Caenorhabditis elegans: one gene and its partner. The protein of the gene in region 2 interacts with the protein of the main gene of each other region in a pairwise test. Each region holds a gene or a part of one and is shown on either strand. Other genes may lie near its edges.

Region 1 (10,908 bases), on a different chromosome or scaffold from region 2:
TCTATTCAGTTTTCTACGAAATGATAACTGTATATTTCAGGTTCAACAAATGAGATCACAAGCAAAAGAAGACAAGCAACGTCGAGCAGCAGAACAAGCAAAAGTTGCATTGGAACGAAAAGAGAGGCAGCAAATGGAAAAAGAATATAAGGAAATGAAACAAAAAGTTGAAGTGATGACTTTGGAATTAATGAAAGCTCAAGAAAATATACGAAAGGCAGAAGAAGCGAATGATCAATTAGCAGAGAAGGCACGACACAGTGAACATGAAACTTTGATGTTGTACAAGCAAAAAAGTGAAGTTGAAGCTGAATGTAATCGATTAAGTATGAATAATATGAAGGTAAAAAATCAAATTAATTATGAAATTAAAGTTTAATTTTCAGTCCGAAGAAGCTCTGTTGAGAATGGAACGAAAAGCTCGGGAAGCTGAGATTTTGGCAAAGCAGATGTCAATGTCACTAGCAGATGTAAGCCTTGACGCGAATCGGAAAATGACACAGTATTCGAGTCAGTCTGCGTTGATTATTGATCCGGTAAGTTAATGGAAAATCTTCCCATTTTGAGTAAATCTTGACAAAACCGTAATGGGATTGATAGAGGATATACTCGATTAATACGGTTTAGAAACTTTCAGAATTGGCATCAACAAGTATCTGGTCATCAATCAGGTCATCCTGGTATGCCATCAACAGGATCATTTCATCAACTGCAATCACTTGACAGTTAGTTTTTTTAAAGGCACAATAAAAAAGTCTATTCCAAAATAGTATAGAAGTATAATATCTATAGCAACTTTTGCATGATAATTTTGGCAATGGGCGTAAAACTATGTTTAAAAGTTAAGAATAAAAGTTTGCCGAGTCAAAAAAGTCTAGATCACATAATAAAAACCGACCCCCTAATCAGTTTATCGAATTTTTTTTTGATTATGTAACTTCAACATTTTCTCACAGCCAGGTATTTGCAAAGTTGCCTCAAAAAAGAGAACACTAAAAAATATTTTGGTAATGATATTATAAATTCAAGATCTTCAAATGAGAATGTGTCTAGTTGTAAACTAATTTATTGTTTGTAATGCCAATTTGGGAATGAAATCGCAAGCCAAGTTGCTACTGTTTTTGACCAATCCACGTCTTGTTAGAAATAAGAAATAAGAAAAATATGATTATATTTATACGGAAACAACATTTTCAGCACACACTCATCCTCAACAAATGATGTCTCGAAGTCTGAATATGCCATCATCTGCATTTTCCTCCCCAATTCCTTCAAATCAACCACTTTCTCATCAACAACCACAACAAATGTCTCAAAATACTCAAGCTCATCAACAACAAACTCAAGTTCAAAATCAGAATCAACCGCCATATTACGGAGGATCTGGTATGATTATTCCACCACCCGATCCTTCAATTAGTCAGATTTTCGAGCAACAGACTACTCTGATGGAGTTGGAAAAATCAAGGTTAGTTTGGTAATTAAAAAAAAAGGATAACTGAATTATATGCTAGCAGAGTTGAGCAATGGAGGTACAATCCTAATAGAGAATAGTATGTGACATTAGAAATTTTTTCAGGTCAGAATACGAAACACGAGCGCGAATCTTCAAGGAGCACCTGGAAGAATTACGTGGCGATATTGACGGCCTGAAACGAGACGGTAATGTACAAAATGGGCAGCATCGAGAGCATGATGCGGTTCATGCACAAAATGTGGCACACGGTTTTGATAAGTTCACGACGATGAGAATGGTAAGTAGATAATTTAGCAAGTTCTGTTAGCATGCTACCGTTCTGAACGGTTACTAAGCTGATCTCATGATCAGAAGGTCAAAAGTTCAAAAAGTTATTAAATCTCTTTTTCATCCTATTCTATTATATGTTAAGCTTCTAATTTATTAAAATTTCGCGCGTTTGGCATTTGTAAGTTTGACGCTTAACTTCGGAATATCTCCAGAAAAAATCAAAAAGCGCAAGCTCAATTGGCTCATCGGGTTCCTCCGATTCCTTGGAGCTCAATACTGTCGCTAGACATGTGGCGGGACGAGGGATTCCACGTGTCTCTACAGTATCCACTACGAGCTCGTCAAGTATTCTGAGCCACGTCATGATGCTGCATAGACAGCAGTCTTATGATTTGGGAAACACTGAATGGCAGGAAGCTGACATTTGAATATAGTGAGAAAATAGTGCCAGAGTTTGATTGTTGTGTGGTAGAGCGTGTTTGCATATTGACTAATTTTCCAATTATTGTTTTCTAACACTTGTTGATTGGTATTTTTGTTAGAGTTGAAAATAAACATTCATGGTTCAAGCGCTCTATGAATAAATTCAATAATATGCACACTGTAATTGTTTTTTTTTGACTTAAAATTTAAAAATCAGGAATCGCAACAATGAACGCAGCGCGAAAAATATTTCTTAGAGCGCAATCGTTACGTCGGGTACTGACACGAGATTATTTTTTCCGCTACAGTATCCAATAGTAGACGTTCCATCGTTTATTTGGAAATTCTTTTTCTTGAGTTTTTATGTTTTTGTAGTAAACCTATTCAGGGAAAATAAGATTTTCACAACAAAAACTCGAAAAATTTTTAAAAATAGAAAGAAACAAGAAAAAGCAAAACCCAGGGTACGGTATCTGAAAAGTTTCGCTCGCGCTAAGACTTTATTAATTTTATTAATTGATTCAAAAAATCACACATTTTTTAGTGAAACTATATCTTTGAATTTCACAAACCTGTCCGTCGGTGTATTTTGTTGTGATTTTTCAAATTTTGAAATGAACATTAGTGTGGTATTGATTGATTATTCTTCTCATTTTCCAATTATAATTTTCTTATAATTTCAGAGTATGCGAGGAACTCCACGACAACGAGCACAAGCTTTTGATGGAATGTGATAAGAAACTTTATGGCCATTTATGAACCGATTTTCCTTTTTTTTCTTCAGTTTTTCCCCATCCCGATAAGAGATAACCCCATTTTGTGCTCATTCAGTTTATTGATTTTTCCACACCCTTTTGCCATTTTTCAATCAATAATCTTTCGTGGCAAGACAAAAACGCGTATTTTTCTTCTTTTTTCCGAAAGGCATATTGTGTAAATATACATATCGAATGATTGATGAATACAGATTTTTTTTAAATGTTTTTTTATTAACTTAAAATAATGAAAAAATCTGTAATTTATTAATTCATTTCCAGCAAAAATGGGCGAAAAATTCAAGGTTTTCGTGTATGGAACCCTGAAAACAGGAGAGCCAAACTACAAGGTTCTGTCAGAAACTGACGGAGAATATCGGTAAGTTCGGGAGTACTGAAGAATTTTGAGTGTCAAATGTGATGCATTACTTCTTTCAGATTCATCTCATCTGGAACTACAGTGGAAAAGTTCCCATTGGTAGTTGGAACCAAATATAACATTCCATTTTTGCTTGATGATGCTGGGAATGGAAATGTGAGTTTTACAACCTGAAGTTTATTTAAACCGACGTACTTTGAAGCATATTGACAAGTAATTAAAAAAAAAGAACGAGAACGGAATCAGCTTTGGCAGGGAAACAAAGATGAATAAGGAAATTTTAAAGAAAGAAACAGAAAAATGATTATGCGCACGGTTTAAAGGGAGTATAAATGCCAAAAACTTGTTTAGATCCGAAATTTTTTTGGTATTCAAAATCTTTGAAATTTTTTTCTTTCCTTGAATCCGGGGACTGTGACAGGGGGAAACTAAAAATTGTAGGGGATGGGGATACTAACTAATATGAAAAAAAAAACAAACAATAATGTACATTATACCAGAAAAAAGGATATACATTGAGGATTGAAGAAAGGGGAATTCAAGAATCATTCTCCACACATTTCCGCTTTTTCATAGTATTTATTTGCGAGCTTTCCATTCATTGCTTCCATTGCTGCTTCAGCAGCTTCATTGAATAGACCATATGCTCGTTCGAAGTCTTGATTCAGGCCATAACCTCCCTCTTTGTACATTTCAGCCATTTTGGCTAGAATCTCGTGACGAGTCAGTGGAGCAAATGAGGAGAATGTCGTTTTTCCACAATCAGAGTCAAGTTCTTCTTCTTCTTGGAATCCAACGACGCGTTGATACCTACAAAATTTAGAATATTTCTCAAGTTTATAGAAAAAATGTTAAGGAACAAAATCATCCAAGAAGTCCAGAATAAAAATCGCAAATAGGTCATATATGATTTTCTTTTTGAAAAATACAACAAGTAGATTTAGTTTTTTCTGAACATATTTTTTGAAGGTTCCTAGTTTTTCTGGTTTTTCACAATTTTTCTTATAAAAAATGAATCAGAGACGGGTACTTCTATTCGAATTTTAAAAAATTTTCGATTAAAAAATTTCAATTTCAATTTCCAAATTTCCTAAATGTTCAAAAATTCAAATTTCAAAAAATCGAAAATCTTCGTTTTTTGATTTTTTTTTTCGTAAATTGAAATTTTTATTTAGAAGAAAAAAAATTTCCATCGAAACAAACAAAGTTTGATGAAATTTCAAATCTGTTAATTACATTCTAAATCTTTTTTTTCGATTTTCAATTTTCCGGCTATTCGAAAAAATTTTCAATTAAAAAAAATTAGAAGCTATAGCATCAAACATTTTAGCTTTTTTAGGTTTCTTAAAAGTATTCTCTATAAAGTCGGGTTACTGTATCTTCACTAGAATCTCATAAATTTCTTACCAATCAATCGATTTCTTATAATCCGTTCTTCGATTCGGTCCGAGATGCTGACCAGTTTCATAAGCGTGTGCCATGTACAGCATTGCACCCTTATCACCCATCTCTGCAGCAATTTCCATCAGATCGGAGCCGAACTCTTCTAGGTCTGAAAATTTTTGAATTTTGATAAAATACGGGATGCTGAGAACACTAGGATTGAATCTTTCAAAAAAGGAAACAACACGAAAGGTTAAATTGGGAAATCACAAAATAATTTTTAAAAAGCACACACGAGAAAACTTGATTCTTACCACAAGGTTTTTGTCCTTTATCAGCTGAAAAGTTGGAATTTCAGATTTAAAAGAGAAAAATTAACAAAAAAAGCTCACCTCGAATTCCATTTTCCTGTTCTCCAAACCCATTAGGAAACAGATCATCAACGGTGACTTCTTTCAACAATTCATGTGGTAATCCGAGAACAATATGAGCCGATGTTAGCACAGCCTCAAGGATTCCACACTTCCGAGCGATATCCAAATGGAAAATTGCAGACTGCTTGTCGTATTTGATTGGTACACGAGCGTCATTTTCACTTCCCTCAAGCATTTCCTTATGTTCTGAATCAACTTCTACGAACCGCCCGAGCTCATGATATCGTGAGAGATCAATATGAATCTGACCGAGGACAGAGAACTGATGCCCGGTGACTTGTGGTACGTCTTCATCATTTTCCAGGTTAGCAGCCATTTGTTGAAGTTGAAGTGATAGAATGTTTGCTGGAACTGATTGTTTTCGAAGAACCTTCCAGAATTCATCCTTTTCAGTGTCTCTGGTTTGTCTAGAACTATTCATAGAATATGTCCCAACAGAACTTCTGAAGCTATCATGTCTCTGACGAAGTGAGTTTAAATCTACAAATCCGCATTTTCTAGGACGAGATGCTGATTCATCGCCAGAAGATCTCGTTGAAATGCTCATTCTACTACGTCGACTTTTCTGACTATTTCCACTTTTTTCACTTCTTGGATAGTCTTCTTCTTCGTCCTCTTCATCTTCGGAGCAAGGCTCACAGAGTTGCTCAACAACTGGAATACACTCAGGACATACACAGTCTTCGTTGTGACTCTGAAAAATATAAAAATAGAATACGTTAGAACTTTTTTAAATGTTTCTTTCACCTTTGCTGACAAATCGGTTGACGATTGATTCAACGTCTTCCTTTTTCTCAATTGATCCATCGAAATACCATGCTCGACATGTACACATTCACTTGAAATTCGATTTCTTCTTGCTTCGAACACAGTTGGAGGAACTATGCATGACTTTTTCTGCTTTGCAGCTACTTCCATCGCAACTTCGGTAGCCTCGATTTCAGGTGGCGAAAGTTCGAAATTTGATAGATCCATTGTCTCACAAATATCGTTACATCTGTGTGAATGGAAGAAAAGAGCCATTCCACGAGTTCCGAGGTTTCCATCTCCATAATCAGTTCCCACAACTGTATGAATCTGAGGATCTGTGTAAAGATCACCAACTCCTTGAATATCGACAACCATCATTTGATGACCAGAACGTTCGAAGGTGAAGTGAGAAAATGCTTGTGGTGTAAGACGAGCTGCATTTGATACAAATCCTGAGTTTGAATTGTATTTTATATATTTTCCCTCGATGAAATGCTCCAAATGATAGAGTGGAGAACCTTTTACATCAATCATCTCAATGACACACATTTGAACAATATCAATTTTCTTCGGTGGATTATACCGATTATATTCTTCAGCCCATAATTTGGCATCCATCTGAAGTCTGACATCATCGAAAAGAACTCTACGATCGACTTGACAAATGTATCTTTTTGCGACATAGTTGCTGCTCCAATCTTGACTTGTTCCGTGCTTGGAGCACTTTTTGAGTCGGTAGCATTCTCGCATGGCTCCACGTGCAAAACTGTCCGGATGAAGTCTCACATCGACTATATCCTCTGTCCATTGCTTTCTGATTGCAGAATACCTATATCGTTTAGCTCGTTGTACTGGATACTCGTGGATGTTGAACTCATCCCATGGATCTATATAGTTTGTTCTTGCTCGGCGAGCAGCCTTGCGCCATGTCTCCATAAGTTTTCTAACGTGGAGAGGATCCATACGAGGCTTCTCGATAACGACATCATTCTGTTCAATGAACACTTCATCTGCGTAGTCGTCGGTTATCCGAACCATTTTTGACGCATTGAGCGAGAATGTCCGAGCCGAGGCCTTGAAAGTAAAAATTGTAGTTTGTTTAATTGAATTTTAATTAAATAAATTTAATTTTGTTAAAGAATTGTTTTCAAAAATCCCACCTCCAATCCTGGTGAGTTAGTTGGACTATTGTCGCTCTCATTTGTTGTGTCGATCGTCATTTTGCCCAGTTTGACTACTGAAACAACTATTTTGTAAATAATTAATCCAAATTTTTTCAGAACATTGAAGGAGAAATGTATGAAGTTTGCGAGAAGAAATTGAAGGTGCTCGATGAGTTGGAAGCCTACCCAACATTGTACGATAGAAAGAAAGTTGAGGTAAGTCAGATAAAAAAGGTTCTGTTTGATTTCCTACTGTAGATGTTTTTATTCTTAAAAAACGATATTACCTAGTTGCGAAAAAGATTTAAAGTGTAAAATCTATGAAATTGGGAAAAACTGGACGTGGAGAACTACCGTACTTTTTAAAGGCGCACTCTCTTGTTTGCGCTGAAATTTTTTGGTCGCGTTGAGACCAGGTATCGTATCAGAACTCAAGGCAAGTCAAAGGTCTTGTTTTCTATGTCAGGCCCAGACACTACTCATCTAATCACACCCAACAAAAAACGAGCATGAATTAAAGCGACAACGGGGGGAGAACGTGTCGAATGAAAGAATACTTGAAAGCAGATGATAGAGAAAAGAGAAGCAAACAAACATATAAACAGTTTGATTTCTGTTCCATCGAGATGCGTCACGTGCTGGTCAGCTGAGAGCTTTTTATGGAAATTTTTGGATGTAATAACAATATGTTTATTATGCATTCGTAAAAAATGGATCCAAAAGTAAATTTGATCTCAGTGAAAAGAAATCGATTTTTAAAAATAACATTCTGAAACGACCATTAGAAGTAATAATTGAAAATTATTAAAGGTTTTCCAATTATTTTCTGAATATTTGTTTCTGATAATTGATAATTGAGATTTATGAAATTCGTATTCACTTTTAGAACAATTTTAAGATTCAAACTGCAGAAGTTTTCTATTTCGAGCATTTTTAGGTTTTTAGTCTATAATCCAGTGATTTGTGTGTAGAGAAGAGTTGGGTAAATAGAGAATTACGAGGATCGAGAACCAGATTCGGAAGATATTATCTTTTTCAATGGAAAACATACGATTTTGGATTAAAGTCCGTAAATTGTGTTTTATAAATCATTTTTATAAATGAGATTATGCATTTTGAAAAGAAACAAAAACTATTTCATATTTTGTAAGTATTGTAGGCATTTAGAGGTATCTTCAAAAGTTCTATAAAATTATTTTTTAAAAAATCTAAAATCCTCCCCGATATCGGGCCCGATAGGAATAAATAGAGAAAGAAAAAAGCTCATAAATTATAATGGGTAATATTTTTTGAAGGAACATTCGAGAAACGTCGAGGAAAATTTTCAAGATCAAAGATTAAAAAATCAAAAGAACAAAAAATCGAAAATTACTTTCAATTTTAAGTTTTTCAGTTTTGCACGTTTTTGTACTTACAGTTAGACATTAAAGATAAAAATGATTTTTTGTGATTTGATAAAAAGGGCAGATGGTGAATAATATATCAATGAGAAACCAATCCTATTATTTTTAATGAACATAATAAATCATCTGGTTGAGTAGATTCTTGGAATATAAAAATGAAATATTCTGATTTCCTTGAAACTTCAATCTGACCGAGCCGAATGTAATAGGTCAAATGTGACCAATATCTCTCAGACATTTATCACTAGCACTTTAAAATAGAAACAGGAATCAGTAGACTCTCTGAAGTTGAAAAAAGACCGACGGAAAAACTGGGAGAAAACTACGTGAAGAAATGGAAAATCGAGAAAGGCCTAGAGGCACCCAGAAGAATGGAGAAAGGAGAAGAAGGAGAGACAATGATGAAGAATGAGAGATTTAGAGAAACAGACAGAGTGTAAACCGAAAAGAGATGGGTGTGCACATTTGACTTGGATGGATGAATGGTTGGGACCACTTGGTGTTTTTTTTGGCTGAAAAATATAGAGGAAGTTAAAATAAAGTGTATATGAAGGAACCTATAATTATTGATTTAGGATATTTATGGAATAGATAATATGAATGAGCTCATTCAGACAGCGCGGGTTACTGTAGAAAGTAGACACGAAATTTTCAAAAAAAAATGTAAACGTCTTCGACCGTTTGTTTTATTTTTCATTGTTGAATCATAACAATACCAACTTACAAAACATATCTGAAAATGGGGAATTTCTCATTCAAAAACATGAAAATTTCAGATCAAACTTCCGTCTGGCACTACTGAGACTGCGTTTATCTATCTGCTGAAAAGCTGGCGCCCAGATCTACTTTCCACGTCATCCGAAATGATGACCAACTACTCAAGCCTCGGAGCTCATGGTAGACCTTATGTGGACAGGTAAGAGAAAAATGTGCCTTTTAAAACTAGAGTTAAATTAAATATTTCTTTGAAAAACAAATTCCAGTGATTTATTGAAAAATTACGCGCACGACTGGAATTTTCAGATACGTGCGCGCAAAAGAGATGCTTGACGATCTCGACGGCAGTTCGAACCTCTATCATGATATTTTGGGCGCTGAGAACCTGATCTACATCGAGTTGGCTCAGAGAAAAGCCGAGTTCGATTTGAAAAGTGGGGAAATTTACAAATAACTATTCAATGAACCTACATTTAATTTTTTTTGCAGCGAGAACCTAACCAACGAGAATGAAATGTACGAAGCAATGTGATCACCGAGTAACAGTTCCTCATCGTTATAATTTGAATAAATGAATAATAATCTGGGATTGAAAACACACATGCAAGATAACAAAGACGAGCACATTGGGAATGTATAAACGTTTATATGAAAAAGAAAAAAGGGAAACGAAAGAAAAAGACACCATGATTGAATCCGAAAGGGAATTGGGCAAAGAGAATATGATAGAGCACTTGTATAAATAGCACAAGTAGAAAAAGAGCAAAGTGCTCATGGGGAAAACATTTTGAAACTTTCTTTCGTTGAAACCGTAACCGACGACACGCGAAACAGGCGGATTTGAGATTTTTGGCGTGACACCGAAAATAGGAGACGACCTTCGAAATGCATAAGATTTCGAAAAAAGATACCAAAATTCGATTCACGTGAATTCTCAAACCACACCGTCCGCTGTCAACTACCCTATAAATTTCACGGGGTATTGTGGGTCGTTCAAGAATTGGTAGAGCAACAATAAAGAGTGAAGTGCGTTTAAGCACGAAATGATAAGAGAAATTTGGGACATAACAAGTTGATAGGGACGAAATTAATAATGTACTAAATTATGAGAATACTAACCAAAAAAAGGATATTATAGAATAAAGAAAAACAATGAATAAGGAAATGGGAACACAGAAAACAGAAGAATAAGAAAATAGTTGGGCCTATTATTGATTTTTCCTCAAATGTGGAGGAACGTACGATCCAGCCTTGGCAGCTCCCGAAGATGCTGGAGCAGCAGCTGCAGGGGCTGGTGCTGGCTCGTTACGCGCTGGAGCTGGATTGGCGGCGCTCATCATCTGAAACGTTGAATTTAGACATTTTCAAGAATAATAAAAATGATTTTTGATAGTTTTAAAACCTTGAAAACTTAGAGTAATTATTTTTCCTTGACACATACCTTGAGAGCTGCAAGAGCACTATCACGTCCACTTCCAGCAGTTGTCGGATACGATCTTGAAGACCCACTTGAAGATGGGCCCGAACTTCCTGGCCAAGCTCCACCGGATCCAGCTTTTACCCAACCTCCTGGTGATTTGCTCTCCTCTTTCTTATTCTTCTCAATTTTGCTTGCATCCGCTAATGATGGGAAGGCAGCGTCACTACCCATATCCAGATTTGCAGCAGCAGCTCTTGGTCTGTACGGAGCTCCTGGTCTTCTCATTGCAGGTGGCTTGTAAGCGGCAGCCATTGCTTTGTCACTGATCGTCACA
Region 2 (11,228 bases):
AAACGGACGGAAGGACACGCGCTTTATATATAGTAAATAAATGATGTGCCACTTTATAATGTTCCAGCAAAACCATGAACTATCTTCAAAGAATTTTTGTTTACTCTTAAAATGTGTATTTCTGCAAATTACGAAAGAATTGAGAAATATATTTATTTTGTTAATTTGAATTTAAAAAACTATTCATGTTTCTTATTGAGTGTAGTTTTTCAAACTCTGCATGATTTTGAAAAAAAAAAGTAATAGCCTCAAAAGTTTCTACTCTTCTCTCCCCAAATTTTTACCAAATTCAAAAAAAATTTATAAATTTCATCTGATTTTTTGAACATTGGAAAAGTCTCATTTTTGCTACTTTTTTTGAAGTCGTCGGTCAAAAAAAAATTCTCCCGAATTTCATGGCTCATTTATATTTCAATTATATATTTCAAAAACTGTAGGGTTCGAACAGTGCTACAAAAAGTGAAAAAAATTAGTAATTGACACTTGACTGCCAATAAAAAATTTTCAGAAATTTTTTGCTAGTTTTTCTATAATATTCGGCACCACATGAATAACTTTTAACAGTTTCTTCACTGGCGGTACTCCACCTTTCAACATTTTCGTACGTTTTCAGACGGTTTCAACTATTTTAAGTAGTTTTTGAGACAAATTTGTAATCGGCACTTTTTACGCGGCACTTCTATTTATAAAGTGGGAAACATTTTAGATAACCTGGAAAAATGTTTTCAGCCGGCATATTTTTTTAAAATGTGTAGATAATTGCTTTAATGCCATATAATGCTATGTAAGTATATTTTTTTTTAAAGTTCTTTGTTAAAATCCATAATTTGAAATGGAAAAAGCCCCGAAAAATAATTGTCCCATTGTTTTAGTTTTTATTCCCTTTTTTTCAGGTTTTTTAGAATCGAACCACGTGACGGATTATTTTTCTTTTGTGAAAAATTGAATGCCTCACTCTTCGTCATTTCAGTCTCGCACGACATCTTTTCAATTCAATTGATGTTTTGTTCTGGTTTTGGTAATACGTATACATTTCTTTTTTCTTCAATACGGAGCATTCAGCTATTTTTAAAAGAACTTTCATATTGAATTAGTGTAAAAACTTGTGATTTTTTTCAAATTTCAGCAGATGACAATTCCGGTTGCAAAACCATATCCCAGTGGAGAAGGTGTGGAATATCCCAGAAATATGTATTTTTTCGACAATGCAACTAACGATGAAATTGTGATTTTAGAGGAGCAGCAACATGATCCAAGAGTCATTCTGTTAGCTCAACTACGTAATTGTCTATTTGTACCTTATCGACAAACATTTAAAACAAACGTTCCAGAAGTAGTATATGTGAGTTTACCATCACTGGGGGAAGTATTTTCAAACGGCTACTATAGTGCTAAAATGTTCAAATATCATAGTGAAACTTTTCAAAAAAATTGTTTATATTTTTTTAATTACTGGCAATTCGGCAAAACTTTGACTGAAAATTTTGAAAAACCTAAAAACTTTTGAAGTGTTTTTTAGCATAAATACTCTATACCAATATGTTTAACAACAAATTAAAAAAAAAATAGACAACCTCTGTATTCAGAACGACTTCACTGATAGAAGTTCTCATTGGAAAGACTATGTAGACAAAGGAGGATGGGTGAGTTAAAGCAAGTTTGAACGCTTGAAATAAGTCTGAAATTTAGAAAAATATCAGAAAGTCACATCAACTTATTGCTAAATTGGTGGCAAATAGTATTGCACAAGAATATCATTTATTGGCAAAAATTGGAGAAGAACAAAAGTGCTCGGTAAGTTTTACGAAATTTGAATATTTACAAACACTATTTTTATTAGTGATTAGAAAAATACGGCAACCAAATTTTTCAAAACGTTTTTGAAAATAGTTAAACGTGATGCATTTATCAAAAAAAAAACTGATCAAATTAATTTTTGAAAAACTTTCATACATTTTTGGAAAATCACATAATTATGCACAGGTGGACAACAATTTTTCTCGGATTTTTCGATTTTTTTTTGGGCTGTCGAGAGCCGAGAGCCGTACAGTTTTGCTCCACTCTGAAACTTTATTTTTCTCTCTTAGAAACAAGTGAATAAATGATACATATAAAATCGAAATACAGCGCACACAGGTGCTAAAGAACCTACTCATTTTCATTAAAGGAGCTTGAACCATTTTTTAATTTTTCATGAAAAACAAGTAATGGTATCGGGTTCAGCACACCAAAAAACTTATGGACCTAGAAATTCATTCCGCTTCCCCATAAATTGGGTGCACATTAGCAAAAATATGAAACATCGACCGCTCAAATGCAATAGGACCCCCAACGATTTTCCGAAATTCGAGAAGTTTTCCGAAATTTCTAACACACAATCAAATAACATATTTTGAGTTTTAAAAAATCGAATACTGTTGCAAAAAATGAGATAAAAAATATTTAGGAAAATTTTAAAGCAGCTTTAAAAAAGCTTTAACTGCGAAGTTCAGAATTTATATTTTGCAGCACCGTATAAATTTATTATGCCTAATCAAATCAAACTCATTTCAGTTCGGCCTCGAGAACATTGCACTTCATCTTCGCGATGTCATCAGCATGGAAACGTTCTTCACGAGTCTTCTATTCTAACAAACTGCACAAAAAAGAGAACAATTTATTCAATTGTTATTTTCATAGTGTAATAAACAATCAAATGCAAAAACGGAATCGGCTGTAAATAACCCGTCAATAAATCAGTGACTACCTAATGTGGACTACAACGCACTTTCCTGAAAAATTAGACCTCGATAATTCTACACAAGACAAGACATTAGTGGGGGAGGGTGGGGGACAAAAACACGTGCTGTAGAATCAAAAATAAGAGCTGCTAGAGAGTTGTATAAAACGTAGACGTCAACGTCATCTGATTTGAAAAAGAAACAAACAAGTTATGGTTGATTTGACATGATACTAATGAGAGAATTGAAAACTCTTGATGTTATCCGTAAGAATGGAACCCTAAAATTATAAAATGATAATCATTTGTGTCTGTGGGAGGTGGTGGGGAGGTGATCAAGTTTTCACCAAAGAAACTGTATCGGAAAGAGGTTTGTTAGGAAGAATATTTGATTCGCCGGCAGGATCGTCATTTTCATTTTCATCGTGTGCATCTGAAATAAAAATTGAATCATTGAGAGGAATATTATTTGCAATTGCTCACCTATTGTTTCGTCTTCCTCCTCGTCGATAAAAACGTCTTCTGGCAAATCCTCAAGAGAATTGTATCCAGATACCGGCTTGTCTACCAAATCTGAAGAAGCTGATAAGATCATATTAAGTCTATTTCAATTTTTAAAAAAATTCAAAAACTTTAAAGGCAAAACTGAAAATTTAAAAAAAAAACCTACAATCAGAAGTAACATCTACATCTTCATCCTTGACAACTTCCGATACAGACGTATAGCGAGAAAGTCGATTGGCATATCTGAAATAAAAATTAATTTTTTTTTTTGGTTTAATTCTTAGTTATCTTATTTATTCTTATTTATAACAAACCGTTCTTGCTGCTTGGCCACCATTTTTGGCGGAACTTTTGCTCTCTTCAGTCCTCCATCCCATTCCAAATCGACCAGGCCACCTTTGTTGGCAATTTCTTTTTTCACGCGGTTCGCAAAGTCGACGGCATCCTCTCCATCTCGTCTTGTCATTGGCGGCAGGTACCAGACATTGCAAATAATGGCCCACGAAGTCATCATTCTCATGATATATCCGCACCACGATTGCTCTGAGCTGTTCCAGAACGCGTCTCCGAAACGTGAATCGTATTTCATTGCAATTGGGTAGATGGTTGTGCCAATCTGAAATGTTAACAGTTTATGAAAAAATCAATACCTATAATAAGTTCAACAAACCTCAAAAGATCCTTTCTTAAACATCATAACAGACGTGTTATTGATGCAGGTGCCTTCTGGGAAGATCAAAATTGGAAGTTTATCCGGATTGGTGCAATGTTCCTTCAATTTTTGAGCAACTACAAGACGATCCTTGGCTTCACTTCTCTCAAACCAAATATGACTTGAAGCTCGCGAAAGTGCTCTTTGTACAATACCCAAGAGTCCTTCGTGTTTCTGTCCGATCAATGCATATACATTGTCGATGGAAAGAATGAGAGCATCAATTGGAGAGGTGTGGTTTGCGACGCAGATTCCTTGTGCCTGCGCTTTATAGTGTTCATCGTGAAAGTATACCACAGCCGTGAGACTTCTTGAAAGGATTCGGTAGCAAATAAGCATACACTTGTGGTTGAGAGCTCTGAAAAGATACGTTTAGATATATAGATCTTTTTTCCGATTCAAATTTTGAATTTCGAGAAGAAATGCACATACTTTTTCCAGTTTCCAATTGGAACAAGACCAATGAGCGCTGTCGAACTGATCAAAAACACGAGACCGATGCAGAAAACAGTGAAGCGAAGTGGCAACATAACGCAGTAGCGGAACATGAACCCAAGAATCCATAGAGCACTCAACTTCCAGCTGAAATAGTGTTGTTCTTTGATCTTGCCTAATAGTATTACTACTATTATGTTAACATGTGCACTTTTTTGCTGATAAACTCACTTGACAAACTGATAAAATTTGATGCTGGTTCTGGTCAACATGTTCCAGCTCACCAACTGTTCCGCTTCGAACCGACTCGTCACCTCGTCCTCAATTATCGCCTCCATTCCAGCCTTCACAAAATCTACCGAATCACGAATTGCAGCCCATCCTCGACTTCTGACAAACACCTCATCAGGAATGTCTTCAGAAAAGTTATCGTCAAGGTAGATTTGTGTCTCTCGTTTGATGATTCCCACTGGAACAATTCAATGAAAAAACATGTATTTATAATTGGCATTTTTTGTGATTAATCGAATTACGTACTAATAGGCTAACTTCTACTGGAGGCACTAATGAGATCAGAAACTGGTAACTTCAAAAATTATTTTAAGTTTCAGAAATCGGTATAATATTTTCAAAAGTGATACAAATTAACTGAACCAAAGCAGTGAAATTGCAACCAAACATACAAATTATACCCACTTAAAATATAAAGCAGTATGAGAAATGTGGAGAAAGAAGAAAAAAAATCAGAAAAGGTACTACCACAACTCAAAACTTGATAAAATTTTATTTAGGAGTAGCGCCACTGAGGAAATTGTTAAAAACCAATTATACTGTGCCAAACGTACCAAATATCAAAGTAAAACTTTTCAGAATGTTTTTGAAAGGGTTTTTTTGCTTTAAAAAGTGGCAATTACATAGTTTTTGCCAATTTTTTGGAAGTCGTCAAATCTTGGAATTTTATGGAATATGTAGTTTTATTTCAAGTATTAATGTATTAATGTTTAAACATTGTAGGGGTTAGGACTTACGGCAGTGCTATAGTTTTCTCAAAAACTGTCAAAAGCCCAGTAATTGCCAGTTTTTGACTGTCAATAACAATTTTTAGTTCCAAAATTTTTGAAAAGTTTTACTATTATATTTGGTCATTTGGGCATCGTGAAAATAGTTTTTCACAGTTTCTCCACTGGCTCTACTCCACTTTCAACATATTTAAAACTACCCGATCAAATGATTACAACATACATGTGCTGCTTTCAGACATCTTTCTATTTCGGAGACTGCAGCATGATCCAACGGAGGCGAGACCTGAAATGAGATACCCAACCTGACAAAACAAAACGAGAAAATGGGGGTACATGCTTTATAAAGAAGCTAGCATGCTTTTCTGTTTTACTCTATCAACTCACTAGTAGTTGATCCAAACTTTCTCTTTAAACACGACTCGTCACCAAAGTCAGAGTCAACTGACGGAAAGTCTTCTCCAGAATCATGGCTTTCCGTTTCACTCCGAGCCTCAATTTCATCATCCGTGATTCCATCTGTGGCTTCAAAATGTGGAGTCTCCATACTTCTGATCTCATCTTCGTCGTCATCGGCTTCTTCGGAAAGCTTGTTGAGAAAAAATGGAGCGGTCAGAGCGCTCTCTTTCCTTCTAATCTTTTCGGTTGTTTTGATTTGGCGAGCACCCCACTGAAAAAGTAATATACTATATACTACTTATACATTACTCTAATATCAATTCGTTACAAGTCGGTGGTTTTTCTTTCCAACAACGTTGTTTTTCGTCACTGTTTTTTATCAATCTGGCCAGGCCATCAGACCATATTTGGGCGAAAGATAGAAGAAAAATGTCTGAACGCTGTTTGATAAGACAATAGATTTCGAGTTGTTCCCAAATAATTTATGATGAAGAAAAAAAGAAAACTTCTTGACCTTCAATCTCAGAAATAGAAATACAAACCTCGAATATGTTGATCAATGTGTCCACGTACATCTGCCGCAATCCAAGGGACTTTCCAAATGTTGCCAGAATGATGCATAGCAAGACGGTCAGTGCCACTGGTGGAAAGGCAAATGTAGTTAATACAAAGAGCAAATGCTCGATTCCGAGCATACTGCCAGTTGTTTTTCGTTTTGTATTCCTATTTTCGATTTGGTTCTGTAAAAAAATATAAAAAGTAAATCAAAATTCAGTAATAGAAAGTTTCAACACATTAAAGCGGAAAAGGAAATGGAGGCGGTCAGTTGAGATGACGGAATGTGTCAGTGAAAATAGAAACATTTTCTGCGATAAGTTACCGGAGCAATGAAGGTGAAGCACGCGGTGGGAAACCACCAGACTGTGCTGAAAATGTGTCAATCGGAGAAAAACTGCGTCGAACTAAAAGTGCAAAGCGACAAATATTTGAAAAAAAAACTAGGAGAGACTATCAAAATGTTTCGATTATAACCCAATGTACACGAGACAAAAAGTAAAAAAAAAAGATCACGGTAGTTCAGAGGAAATTACGTCATTTTGACGAAAAAAGATATGACAAAAAAAGAAAAGTTGGTCTCCAAGTGGGACGATTTGATTGCATTCAACAGTTGTTCTTTTCAGTGTAACTGGAGAACCATAAAATTGGTCTTTGAGGTGTCACTCGAGACCGGGAAAACATTAATAGAATAAGACAAAAAATGCCAGACCGAAACAGATATAATTTGTTGACTTGTTCGATTTGTTAATATTTTTTTTTGCAGATGGGGAAAAGAAGCCGCAGGGTGGGCAGAGAAATAACAAGAAAAGTGGAACGAAGGCAACGTGAACCCATTACTGCGAATGCGAACTAGTCATATTTGTACAATGAGATGGAGCGATGGAGCGCGATTGCTTGCTTTGATTGCACATTTTGGCAGTGGCCATGTTACTTTTTTTAAAGACGAATAGTTTTAATAGTTTTTAGCATTTGGTTTTCAAAAGAAAGTTACTAATTTTCATTCATTCAAAATTTCGAAATCAGTATCGGCTAATGCAACGTAAGTTTATTTTCAAGTTTTCAAAGTTATTTTCAAAATTTTTTAGCCTGACTAATCATCACGATTTTCAAAAGAATATAAGATTTTTCCTTATGATTTTAGATTTTTAACAAAAAATTCCGTTTGTTAGTAGCAAGATAAAACAAAACAAAATACAAGAAAAAAACAAAAAACGACTCAAGGGCAAGTGGTCGATTTCACAATGACAGTGCGAGGAAAGCGAGTGACACGTGACTTGAGGTCACCCCGCCTCGGTTTACTCATGCGATGGATGCGCGGGTGAGCAGCTGCGGTCCGCAATATGTCGTCTTATGCGGTGTTTGCACCGAACTGCGCAGTAATTGTTTGCCGGCGGACTATGACGAAACACGTTGCGAACGTGGCGTTTTAGTGAAAAGTGGGCAATGATTGAGGATTCAGGATAAGGAACTGGAAAAGAATAAAGAATAATTGGGTCTGCATTTATTATCTAATGAAGTGAAGAGATAATATTGTTGACAGAACTTGTCACGGTTATCAGTTTCGCGGATTCTCCCATTCGTTCTGTGGTGTCTTATGCAAATAAACAAATTTTTGGGGGGTGTTCTCTCCTGAAAGTTTCGTTGAAACGGTTTTAAATGACTAGATGTTCAGTTGTTAAGGGAGTTCACTTGCAAATTTCAAAGGTGGAAAATGTCAAATAGACATTTGGGCAACCCTAAAATCTTTAAAATATAAAACTTAGGATAACAAAATGTTTATTTTGCTGGACTTAAAACGAACCTGAAGAATCGAATTTTATAACGAGATTTCACGAAAATTTCGAAAAGGCAGTAGGTTTTAGGTAAAGTTATCTTTAATTTCTCTGTGTTTTGCGGTCGGAAATATTCAAAAATTGTTTTATGATGCATATTTGGTTTGTTTGTAAAAGTTGAAAATTTTGGAGATTTAGCTGAAATTGGGCACGTTCCAACTAAACACCATTGGAATTAATGCAATTATATGGTTTGTTACTCTATGAGAAACTTGTTTTTATTCAATATTGACGATAAGGATCTTTGGTGGCTTTTCAAATAGTTTAACCCTGGACTTTGAGATTAAAAAGTGGATGCACCAGGTGTCCAACTTCCCGTATCTCTTCACTCGGTGGTTTCCATCTTTTGTGACAACACTTGACACCGGAAGTCACTCAAAACCTGATTGCACACCTTTCAAAACAAAGGTGGTGTGAAAAAAAAATGGTTTTCTGATTTTGTGATTTACTTTTTTTCCATTTTTTCTCTTTTTGAAGAATTTCCTAATGTCTTTACGTTTCTCTCTTGTTAGTTTTTTGCCGTGTCCCAGTTTTCATGATTGTTTTCGATTGAAAAAAAAGTAGCGAGAAAATCTCTTTCCGTTCTTCGGAAAAATGAAGATATGCAAGAATCGGTTTTCAAAAGTGACAATTGAGATATTCTCCTCACCTGGTACAGCCAAAGAGAGAACGCTGCAGTGTTTGCTCAGCAACGTATTGTGCTGAGTTGTGCACCCCGAAGAATGGTCAACACAGATTGTCGCCAAATTAAACTTCTTTTCAAATTTTCAATGATAACGACTTACTAAAATTTTTGGAGCACGAATTTTTAAGTAGTTTTGACAATAAAAACTTGTTGCCTATTCGAAGCACATCAAAGAGCAATCAATCTGTGATCTTTATGTAGGCGTAAAAAACTAAAGGTTTCATGGGAGACTGAGGTTTACAAATTTTTTACTAGAGGTTTTTGAAATGCATGAAATTTCAAAACTTTTGGTACCGATTTTTGCCATAGTGTATTCCCTCATAAAATATGATAAAAGCTCGATAATGAGAAAAAAATAAAAAATTTGGAGGCAAAATCCAAGTAAATAAACGGCTGCTTTACGACATTCAAACGATTTGATATTGAAGAAAATGCCTCCGTGTTTTTATTTTATTCTTTGTTTACTTGACACAGGTAGCTAATTTTTTCGTTTCAAGATTATTTTGGTGATTCTTTATTATATTTTAATTTTCCAGCTGAAATGTCTGATTGTCATATTAAAACTTTTTAAAACAATGAAAACTCACTGTCCACCTACACAGCATAATTTCGAAAGTTGACCAAAAAAAAGTTTTTTCTACAAATTGTATTTTTAAACTGCATTTAAAATGTTTACATTTGAAGGTTTTAAATGCTCAAACCTGCAAAAATGCTCAAGTTTGGCAATTTACTAAAACTTAGGCTGAAATTATTGAAAACTCTAAAGCTTTTTTGTCAGTGAAGTATCGTTTCACTGACGTTACTTCACTGACAATAACCTTAAGTTTTCCAAATGGTACATAAATTTGATACTTGCGTTGCAAAGTTTTCACAATTGACGTGGGAGTCAATCTTAGGTTTATTAGAAAATTGGGTACTTATGGGTTTCGTTCCCCCCAAAATGTTTTTATTTCTAAAATTTCATTTTCTAATTTTCAAATTAAAAACGTGAACAAAAGTACGAAACAAAGCATTCATTTCTACAAATCGTTTCAAAACGTTCCCCTTTTTGTGGTTAATTGAAACTTAGAAAATTAAGATATTTTGGGGGGAACGAAACCCATAAGTACCGAAAATTGATAAACATGTATATAGTTAGTTTGCTCATTGTATCTATTCTACACATTTGTTTTCAAGCTCTCAATAGTTTTCTGTTATCAGAATATCTCATAGCAAACCTAACAGCAATAACATAATTCGACTACTACCGCATTCAATAATTTACAATTTTGTTGTGCGGTGATTTATTGGGCATGATATATTGCCTTGCTATATATTTTTCAACGTTTCCTTTAAAAGTCAAAGCAGTAATCATTATTCGTAATATGTTGATTACATGCATAACTGACCACGTCGCACACATTCACATTATCCCTGACACTCCCTAGTATCAACACACTCTAATCTAGATCGTTTCATTATTGGAAAGAAAGGAGAAGAAGAACATCCTCCACGCTGGAAGGTGGGAAGAGTGACCTCCACAGGTCTTCTCTTCTCCCGACCCACTTCTCTTTTCTCTTCTCAGAAACTTCCTACTTCCATGCATCTCCGTTGTTATTCTTGTTATTCGTTTTATATTTTTGGCTTTGATGTGATTGTCTTACCTATTTCCTTTATTTACAAAGACTATTTTCAGACTATGAAGCTTCTACTTCTCTCCCTGCTGGCAGTAGCAGTTCTTGCCAAGAAAGAGTCAAAGGAAGAAATCAAAGATTTATCCCATGGTATGAACATAATTTTTTATTTGTTTTGAATTGTGTGAATAAGCCAGAATGTTACAGGATATCCAAGTGCTATCGAATGGGTTGAGTTTGACAAAGCTATTGGAATCGCGAAGGACTTGAATAAACCAATCTTCTTCCTCATTCACAAGACCTGGTGTGGAGCTTGCAAATGTGAGGAAGCTTTCACAAGGCCCCAATCATCTTATCACTTATTTCAGCTCTCAAGCGCGAACTTAAAAGTTCACCAAAAACCGATGAGCTTATCATTCTCTCTCGTAAATTTGTCATGGTGAACGTAGAAGATGATGAGGAGCCAGAGGATCCAAAATACTCACCAGATGGAGGATACATTCCAAGAATTTTATTCCTTGGTAAGGAGAAAACCGAAATATGTAAGAGTGTAACAAATTGTTTTACAGACACCGACGGAAACCCATTGAAGACTAACAACGAGCGCAAGTATAAGAATAACAAGTACTTCTACCCACTCCCAGCTCAAATTATCGACGGAATGGAGAGAGCTCTTTTGGAGTTTGGAACTGATGAGGTAGGACAATAAATAAAAAAAGATAAAAGGATAAAAGAAAAATTTTGCAGGAACC

Evidence for each region.
Region 1: the proteins of acl-4 (region 2) and efk-1 interact in a two-hybrid assay, tested with the Caenorhabditis elegans proteins (one large-scale study listed by BioGRID).

What each region holds. Positions count from the first base shown.
Region 1 is NC_003281.10:6,161,440-6,172,347, forward strand, and holds efk-1 (Eukaryotic elongation factor 2 kinase), read right to left. Parts: upstream 7,109-10,908; 5' UTR 7,092-7,108; coding exon 7,032-7,091; intron 6,946-7,031; coding exon 5,869-6,945; intron 5,816-5,868; coding exon 5,080-5,815; intron 5,026-5,079; coding exon 5,002-5,025; intron 4,857-5,001; coding exon 4,712-4,856; intron 4,115-4,711; coding exon 3,850-4,114; 3' UTR 3,467-3,849; downstream 1-3,466. Other genes in the region: nfm-1 (FERM domain-containing protein), read left to right, coding at 41-343, 387-536, 638-725, 1,198-1,468, 1,580-1,754, 1,960-2,175; F42A10.9 (Gamma-glutamylcyclotransferase family protein), read left to right, coding at 3,213-3,304, 3,364-3,460, 7,152-7,250, 9,214-9,353, 9,644-9,686; F42A10.5 (Protein CDV3 homolog), read right to left, coding at 10,363-10,494, 10,596-10,908. UniProt on the Caenorhabditis elegans protein: Phosphorylates elongation factor-2 (eEF-2) at two threonine residues that are conserved in all eukaryotes and are located within a GTP-binding domain. Calcium(2+)/calmodulin dependent activity.
Region 2 is NC_003284.9:2,063,914-2,075,141, forward strand, and holds acl-4 (Phospholipid/glycerol acyltransferase domain-containing protein), read right to left. Parts: upstream 6,529-11,228; 5' UTR 6,484-6,528; coding exon 6,331-6,483; intron 6,060-6,330; coding exon 5,777-6,059; intron 5,676-5,776; coding exon 5,613-5,675; intron 5,479-5,612; exon of another isoform or gene 5,329-5,478; intron 4,840-5,328; coding exon 4,602-4,839; intron 4,518-4,601; coding exon 4,368-4,517; intron 4,294-4,367; coding exon 3,894-4,293; intron 3,840-3,893; coding exon 3,538-3,839; intron 3,467-3,537; coding exon 3,390-3,466; intron 3,302-3,389; coding exon of another isoform or gene 3,293-3,301; coding exon 3,203-3,292; intron 3,153-3,202; coding exon 3,055-3,152; 3' UTR 2,641-3,054; downstream 1-2,640. Other genes in the region: F49H12.7 (Exostosin domain-containing protein), read left to right, coding at 1,130-1,342, 1,587-1,643, 1,690-1,794, 2,554-2,631; txdc-12.2 (Thioredoxin domain-containing protein), read left to right, coding at 10,542-10,626, 10,684-10,797, 10,845-10,997, 11,046-11,173, 11,224-11,228.